Linked DNA regions of Ovis aries. The main gene of each other region encodes a partner of the protein of the gene in region 2 in a complex. Links are inferred from orthologs where the notes say so. Each region holds a gene or a part of one and is shown on either strand. Other genes may lie near its edges.

Region 1 (4,251 bases), on a different chromosome or scaffold from region 2:
GAGATGAAAGATTACATTTCCTTCGTTTGTCCATTCCCACACCTGTTAAAATGCCTGGATGATGGCTGAATATAGAGAAAACCATAATTGCTATTAAAATTTTTCTGGATATTTAGCAGTATGCAAAACAAATCTCATGCAGACACACAAAACAAGAAAATCTCAGTCTGTGAAGTCTGTGTGGTTGCACGCCATTAAATAATTTTCCCCTTGTGGTTTTTAAACTGGGCAAGCCACACACTTAAACACAAACATACATTTGAAAAGCAAGATGATTTCACAAAAGTTATGGTTTCCTTTTACACATGAAAGCATGCACATGAGAGAAAAATTTCTTCAAGACTATTTGCAAAAATAGTTTGGTTCTAGATTGTCTCTTTGAAATCTTCAAAACTAGTTATAAATGTAGTATAAGAGAGGAAATTGTTCTTTCGGTATCCTGTGACTGCTTCAGCTGGTTCAATAGACTTTCATTATAGGCAAAGATTCACAATATAAAATGTCTTTTGGAATTTGGAAGTTAGGTTCCATAAATTCACTGTCTCTTCTGCAATATCATATGAAAATGTAAATATAGGAGAATTAAATAATATCTCTTTCTAAAAGAATAAAGATTAAAATAGAAAATGAAAGCTCATATCCTCTAGTAAGTATTTACCACAAGTTCCTAGAAGCCTCCTAGGAAATCTGAGATCCAGGATCCATACTGCTTATAATAAAGAATATTGTAAACACCAATATGTTTATAATTTAAACATATGAAATCACATCTAATCATTTGAGAATGGCATAAATAAACTTCAAACTTTAATTTAAAATACAGTTACTTAAGAAACCAGTCAATAGATAGCATAAGCTTAAGTTTTGCTTTAATTCAAGCTAAATAAGTAACACTTTTAACAGCTAAAATTACATACATTGGTGGATTTGAAAAGCTGAAGAAATTGACTGCTAGGTGAGTTACAACATAATATAATAGAGCTATACTTGTTTTCAACTAATTTTAATTAAAGACTATTCAACATAATTATTTTGCTTTTATTCTTGCAAAAAAACAGTGAACTGTTTACATTATGTTGCATAAATGTATTTGCTTCTACTTGTATAATTGTGCTACGACACAGCACTCCTAGGTTCTGGTGTTTACATATATGCAAAACATTTTATACTGTGTACAGTGACATTCACTTCATAGAATTATAATGAGGGATGACAGTGTGTAGAAAGCAAAATAAAAAAGCAAGGATACATTTGTTGATTTCGAGTTGATCCCATGTAACTCTTAAAAACTTTGAGTCAAAAAGATTTTAGAGTGAACAGTAAATAAGCATGAATAGCCACAAGGTTATTAGTGTTCGAAGAATGGGTTACAAATATGCCATGATGCAAAGACTACAGTTCTTTAGAATAAACGCAGGTAAGTTACTCTACATTTTTTCACACTCGGTGTTTCAAACAAGAGAAATTTTATAAGAAAATTAGTGTTCATGTAATTCCAGAAATTTCCCTCATATTAAAATTTCCTGATCAGCCAAAAAAGGCACTTCACATAAAAGAAAGCTATTGAAATGTTTTCCTCAAATACAGTTCAGTGAACATTTGTTCTTTGTTGACTTTATTACACAAGTGCTCACATGAAGAAAAATATCGATCCTGTCCTGCTGAGCAGGGGTCATAAAAGATACTCAAATAATCGCAACGCAGAGTGATGAGTGCAGTTATGAGTGCCTGTATTGTTGCAGGAGTAGCAGAGGAAGTAGTGGACGCCTGGGTTTTTAGGGATGACTAGGAGCACAACGGGAAGATAAGGGGCGGAAAAGGGTGCCTCCTACCATCTGTCTCATTGTTCAGTCACGAAATAAAATATATTATAATTCTATAATAATTTTGAAGGAACTAATAATAAATCAAAAAATTTTTACGAGTACAAATCACCTTAGCATTAAAATCAATTATTGTAAGTCATTTTGATTCAACAAAAGAGACTTTTAAATCTGCATATTTGAAAGTTCTATCGAAAAAGTTGGTCAAAATAAAAAGGCACCTCCTAACTTGCAGACAGGTGGAAGAGGGAAATAAAGGCACAGACTCAGGTGCCAGACTGCCAAAGTTTGATCTCAGGCTCTGCCTTTGACTTGCTGTGTGAGTAACGTGTGTGTGGGAAGTTACTTAACCTCATGACCCCTCAGTTTAGTAAAACAGGGATGATAATTACTGTCGCTGATGACTGGTTCAAAACCAACCTGCTATTCTATCTAAGGGGCTGAATTTTCCTTGATAAAAGTCCCAGGAAAGAACACCCAGGACTTTCACCTTGGTCTCTGACCAGTGATTCCAAATTTGTTGAGTTGAATCCATTCAGCAGAAACCATGATCAATGAGTCAGCTGGGAAGGGAATCCACCTCTTTTCTGCTTGCTGCACAAATGCTGAAGGACTGTTTCATAGACTCTCTTGGTACTGAGGGCAAGTTTCCCAATATGGGAAGTAAGCCTGAAGCCACTTAAACTCTCACACACACACACCATATATATATTTTCCTCCCACCAGAGAGAAGGAAGATTAACCAAACCGTTCTAAAGTCAGCTAATAAAGCACAAGCATATCAAAATGAAACTCTGCCATAAAGAAGCAAAACTCAGCATTAGAATTCTGACAAACTTACCTGCTGCTGCTGCTGCTGCTGCTGCTAAGTCGCTTCAGTCGTGTTCGACTCTGTGCGATCCCATAGACGGCAGCCCTTCCCCGTCCCTGGGATTCTCCAGGCAAGAACACTGGAGTGGGTCGCCATTTCTTTCTCCAATGCATGAAAGTGAAAAGTGAAAGTGAAGTCGCTCAGTCATGTCTGACTCTGTGCAACCCCATGGACTGCAGCCCAGCAGGCTCCCCCCCGACCATGGGAGTTTCCAGGCAAGAGTACCTAGCAGGTAACGAAAGCAAAATGCCCAGTGAGATTTCCGGGCACTGTGTCCTGCCCTGTCACTGACCTTGACACATTAATAACACAGACCTCAGTGGGACTGCCAGACTACATCATTATCTCTGCACACAATTTAATACGGACAAGGGACTTCCCCGGTGGTCTAATAGTTAAGAATTGGCCTTCCGATGCAGGGGACGAAGTTCGATCCCTGATTGGGGAACTAAGATCCCACAAGCCACGGGGCAACTAAGCCTGCTTCAGGCAGTTAGAGAAGCCGGTGTCTTGCAGCTACTGAGCCTGCACCCTCTAGAGTCCTTACTCCACAGCAAGACAAAGAGTAGCCCCTACTCCCTGCAACTAGAGGAAGCCACAGGTAGCAACGAATACCCGGCGCAGCCTATACATGTGTGTGTGTGAGAGAAACGTGGCAGAGCAGCCAGGAGTCACCAACAGCCACTTGCAGGCGTAGCATAGCACACTGGTAGCTCCTTTCTGCTTCTTGAATGCTATTGTCAGAATGAGAATAGTAGCTAAGATTAACTGAGCACTTGATATATGATACTCATTTTGCTAAAACCTTTTTCCATATTGCCTCATTTAGTCTTCAGTCCCACGTAAAAAGCACCATTGTTATACCTATTTTACAGAGGAGGAAATTAAGGCACAAACTTGTTGCGAAGGCCATATAATTTTTAAGGTCCCGTCATTTTTGAATGGAGGATCTAACCCGAAAGGACACACATACCTTTTGCCCTCTACTACAATCGTCTCCACTGTCTAATCCCAGAGGACACACATACATTTTGCCCTTTACTGCAATCTTCTCCAATCTCTGGAAGGAAAGAAAGATTTTTCTATTGTGAGCGAAGGACAAGATGTGAGTAAGTTTAAAAGCAAACACCACTGGTTTTAGGCAAACGTATAAAAAAAGATCTATTTCTCTTTGGTTCCTGTCTGCTTCCATTTCTAAAGCTTTCTCCTACACTGTTTTGTTTCTTTTCTGATTTGGAGTGCAAATTTAATACTGTTGATTCTGTTATAAAGTTTGGTATTGCAAAATAATATTTGATTTTCTAATCATGATCACAAGTCTCTAATTTCTCGTGTGTTTTATACCAGATTCCTTACTGCCCTTCCCTCCTGTCACTGGTGACAGACTCTGGTGCTGGTTAGCAGAGAAAGGCAATCTTCCTGCCACCCCAGATGGGCCTTAACACCAGTCCCTTCTTCGATTTTTCAATGCTCAGCAACAGCCTTCTTGGCTCATCTCCAAAATTTCCTGAGAACATAACATTGTTGTGAGGGACTCTGTGTCAAGTGTATCAGGCT
Region 2 (3,814 bases):
TTCCCTAGAGCAAAGCACTTGGGATGTAACTGGTTCAACAAACTCCTCGTGAGCCCTCAAAAGTAGAAGCGGTGTTTCTTAAAGCCCATGTTTTCTAAGGCCACTAGAAGAAAATCTGCCGAAAGGTTTGTGGTTGGTGTCTTCGTCGGTGGATGGTAGATAGCACTGTTGATCTCGTTTCCACTGCGGGTGTACGCGATGTCTTCCACCTCGGGGTCTTAAGCAGGCGCCCAGGCCTGTCCTTGCTGTCTGTGGGGACACCGGAGGGTCTCGGCTTCTTGGGGCGGGGGGGACCCCGGCGTGGTTTCCAAGGACATTCACAAGGACGAGGAGCTCTGGGTGTAATCTCTGATGATAAGCGTGTCGTACTTGGGAGACGATGGGATACACAGGGCTGACTCGGACACCGGCGAGTTGGGGGTGGTGCTCCCCGAGTCCACCGAGTCCCTGAAGGGGGACGGCGGCGTGAGCGCCACCAGCTCCTCCAGGTCCGCCTTGCCGCCCGCAGCCTCGGGCCCGGCCGCCGCCGCCGAGGGCGAAGGCTCCCGGGCGGCGCCCTCCGCCGGCGAGGCCGCGCCGCCCGGGCCCTCGGCGGCGGGCGGCGGCTGGATCTCGGCGAACGTGGTCATCACGGCGGCGGGCAGCTGCATCTCCGTGGGGATCAGGTAGGCCGAGCAGAGCGCCGCGCCCGCGCCGGGCGTCCCCGGGGAGGCCAGCATCATGGAGTTGAGCTCGCTGATGTTGGCCGTAAAGCGGGTCACCACGCTGCTGATCTGCTCCAGCAGCGAGCCCTGCGACGAGCTGCTGCGCGCGGCGGGCTCCGAGCGCAGCGAGCGCGCGTCCTCGTCGTCGGGGAGGCCGCCCGCTGGGCGGCTCAGCGTGCTGATGGGCGACGGCGCGCGCGGCACCGCGCGGCGCTCCTCGGCCTCGGCCGCGGCGGGGCGCGCCTTGGGGCCGGCGTCCGGGGGCTCGGGCCCGCCGCCGCCCGCGCCCCCCGCGCCGCGGCCCTCCGTGCTCTTGGGGAAGGGCTTGATGACGGCCGTCTGGTTGGGGTTCTCCTTCTTGTTGATGTGCACCGACAGCCTCTGCCACAGGTGCTGCCCGCGGCTGCTCTTCTCGTTCTGCGCCCAAGTCACCGACTTGCCGTTGGAGCTGCGGAGAGAAGGTAGACGAGAGGTGACTGCGCGCTCCTCCGTGCTGGTGGGGGGGCCTGGGGGGCTGGAGGGCTCGGACTGGGGACAGGAGGCATCCAAGGACACCAGGGGAGGAGATCTGGGAGCGGGCTTTTTGCTGCCTTTGAGTTCAAGGCAGCTCTCTCGTCTCTGGCCTTCCGTTCATCATAACCGCGAAAGGATGTCTAAGGGGATACTAGGAAGCTTAAAGGGGTTGTTCATGGGAGCCCTGGAGGAGGAAATGGCAACCCACTCCAGTATTCTTGCCCCGGAAATCCCATGGACCGAGGAACCTGGCGGGCTGCAGACCACCAGCTCGGAAAAACCATCCAAGAAGACTTAGAGACTAAACAGTAATGTCAGTTCCGCCCACCCGGGAGTGGGGCAGTTGGTGAAGTTGCAAACCTAGAAGCAAGGGCTTGCGGTATTGTGGTTGTATGTAGATATGCCCAGGACACAGCACGAGCTTCCTAACGTTGGGAGCCTCTGACAGGAAACGTTAGAACTAGGAGCACCCCTTAACTTGATCATCAGGAGGGACCGTAGAGGTAGGAGTCGGGGGTCACCAGGAAGGAGATAGTGGTTTCAATTCAGTTTTTATTCTGCAGGCCTGTGGTTGGTGCATTTAACTAGGGTTTGCTGTAAGAACTCCTGACTTGGAACACGATTTTACTTAGTCTGACTTATGGGGTGGAAAATACAAACTCAGTGAACACATACACTGATTTATAATTAGAACTTTTTTACCTCCTAGAAACTTTCCTCACACATTTATTTTTAGGCCTAAAAGTGAATAACAATTCTGCCAGGGAGCATTGCAGTATTATTGCCCTTGGCACCTGGCACACTACGTTCAAGTTAGGGTCTTGATGAGTAGCGCCTGATTGACATGGTTTCTTGGAGCCTTTCTCCTGCCTTTCTTTCCCAAGTAGTCCTTTCTGGTCTCCCCTTTGGAAACTGAAATCAGCTCTGGTGAAGAAAGCCTCTAATGAGTTGATGCTTCAGACTTACAGACAGACGGCCTGTACCCTCCTTCCCTCTAAAAAAATGAGACAGCTGCCTCTCAGAACACAGACTATCAGGAAGTTCACTTATGTTCAGTGGATGTGGCCTGGCCTTCAGGGAGGTGATATGGAGAGATCCTGGTGTGATTTACCCCCAGGAAGGAATGTGAGAGCTCTGTAACTAGGGCTCTGTTATGCCCAGACAGTTCTGTTCTAGGTGCTGTGGACCAAGAGAAAGCCCTCGGTAGTCTCTAAACAAAGGCTTTAGCCACCCAATTTGATTATCTCAGCTGGTAGCTTTTAAACTTGATAGCATATAGGACTCACCTGTGGTACTTGTCCTATACCCGGGACCCCAGAGACTCTGATTGTCTAAATTGGGTTCCATGGATCCACGTATTTGACAAGCACTTTGCTTCCCTAAAGTGATTGTGCAGTCGGTGTTTCCCAGACTAAGAAACTCTTAACAAGAAGGTATCCTTTTTCTCTGGGTTCCTGTTGTTCCCTTGACCTCCTGGCTGGCAGACTGGCCGGCCTTTGCCAGGCAAGGGACCGAATTCTGTTTGGAGCCCACCTGCCTTGGGACTGCCTACTGCAACTTTGATAGCCTGTCTTGCTTGAGATGACCACTCCCTTGATAACAGACCACTGTTTTTACAGCCCCCATGACAAGCATACTTCCTGCCTCTTTGCCACACTGCTTCCCATGTCTTCATCTGTCCCTTTCCACTGTGTGGCCTTCCTATTTTTCCTCTTTCCACTGAAATCCCAGTCCATTTAATCTACCCTGTATTTTGCCACTTGGTGCCCTTCAAAATTCTGGAATATGAGATATCCCCGCCCCAACCCTGCCCCAGTGGACATTATTTCCAGCTATTGAGGTTTTATGCATCCCCAGTAACAGAAGGGACCCTGCTAACCTAAAACTTTCTAGGGAGTTTCAGGTTTGTTGTTTTTTTTTTTTTTACATTTTTGCATTAACCTGACCTGCCACCCTCTATGTCTTCAGTGCATCACTTTCCCTCTTCCCAAGTGTCCACTAACTTCTGGAACATGGCACAGGAGAAATGGGCCAAACGATGTATGGGATTTGATTGGGAACACGGTTCCCAGCAACCCCGTTTCACCCCCGTTTCTCTCCTGCTGGCAGGATAAGAAACAAAGTCTTTTGGGTAGCTGAGGCCACTTTTGCTGCAAAGCACAGGCTAGAAGCTAGAAGTGTAGCTGGATTCACTCTACCAAGCTTTACCCTAGGGAAGCTCTCGCCCCCAGCACACAGTTTTAATGGAACGTAACCCTAACAGTAACAGTCACCAGAATGCCAGGTAGCTGGGCTCCCAGCCAGGAGAGCGGGTTGAAAACCCTTCGGGTGAATGTGTGAGAAGGAAATGGTCCCAACGAGTGTCGGGAAAGAGCAAATTAGCCAAGATGGGATGGTCAGGCTCTCTCGCCCCACCCTCTCACTACATTTTGTAAATAATGGTTATGTAACAGCTGAGCTCACTTAGGGCACTGTGCATGCGCCTCCGGAGGCACTCGCTTGCCCACAGGCTGCTTTTGTTGGGTAGGAATATAGAAAGTGAAAGTGAAGTCGTGTCCGACTCTTTGCGACCCCATGGACTGTAGCCCACCAGGCTC

The links.
Region 1: the proteins of GRM5 (region 2) and HOMER1 are in contact, whole or in part, in a crystal structure (PDB 1DDV), measured with the Rattus norvegicus proteins. The link is inferred for Ovis aries from reciprocal best matches to the Homo sapiens genes GRM5 and HOMER1. Residues at the interface, in XP_006229721.1 of Rattus norvegicus: Thr1155, Pro1156, Pro1157, Phe1160; in NP_113895.1 of Rattus norvegicus: His12, Phe14, Trp24, Thr70, Ser71, Gln72, Lys73, Phe74, Gly89, Phe90.

Annotation. Positions count from the first base shown.
Region 1 is NC_056060.1:10,527,808-10,532,058, forward strand, and holds the start of HOMER1 (homer protein homolog 1), read right to left. Parts: upstream 2,950-4,251; 5' UTR 2,808-2,949; coding exon 2,665-2,807; intron 1-2,664. UniProt on the Homo sapiens protein: Postsynaptic density scaffolding protein. Binds and cross-links cytoplasmic regions of GRM1, GRM5, ITPR1, DNM3, RYR1, RYR2, SHANK1 and SHANK3.
Region 2 is NC_056074.1:6,724,190-6,728,003, reverse strand, and holds part of GRM5 (metabotropic glutamate receptor 5), read right to left. Parts: intron 1,153-3,814; coding exon 318-1,152; 3' UTR 1-317. UniProt on the Homo sapiens protein: G-protein coupled receptor for glutamate. Ligand binding causes a conformation change that triggers signaling via guanine nucleotide-binding proteins (G proteins) and modulates the activity of down-stream effectors.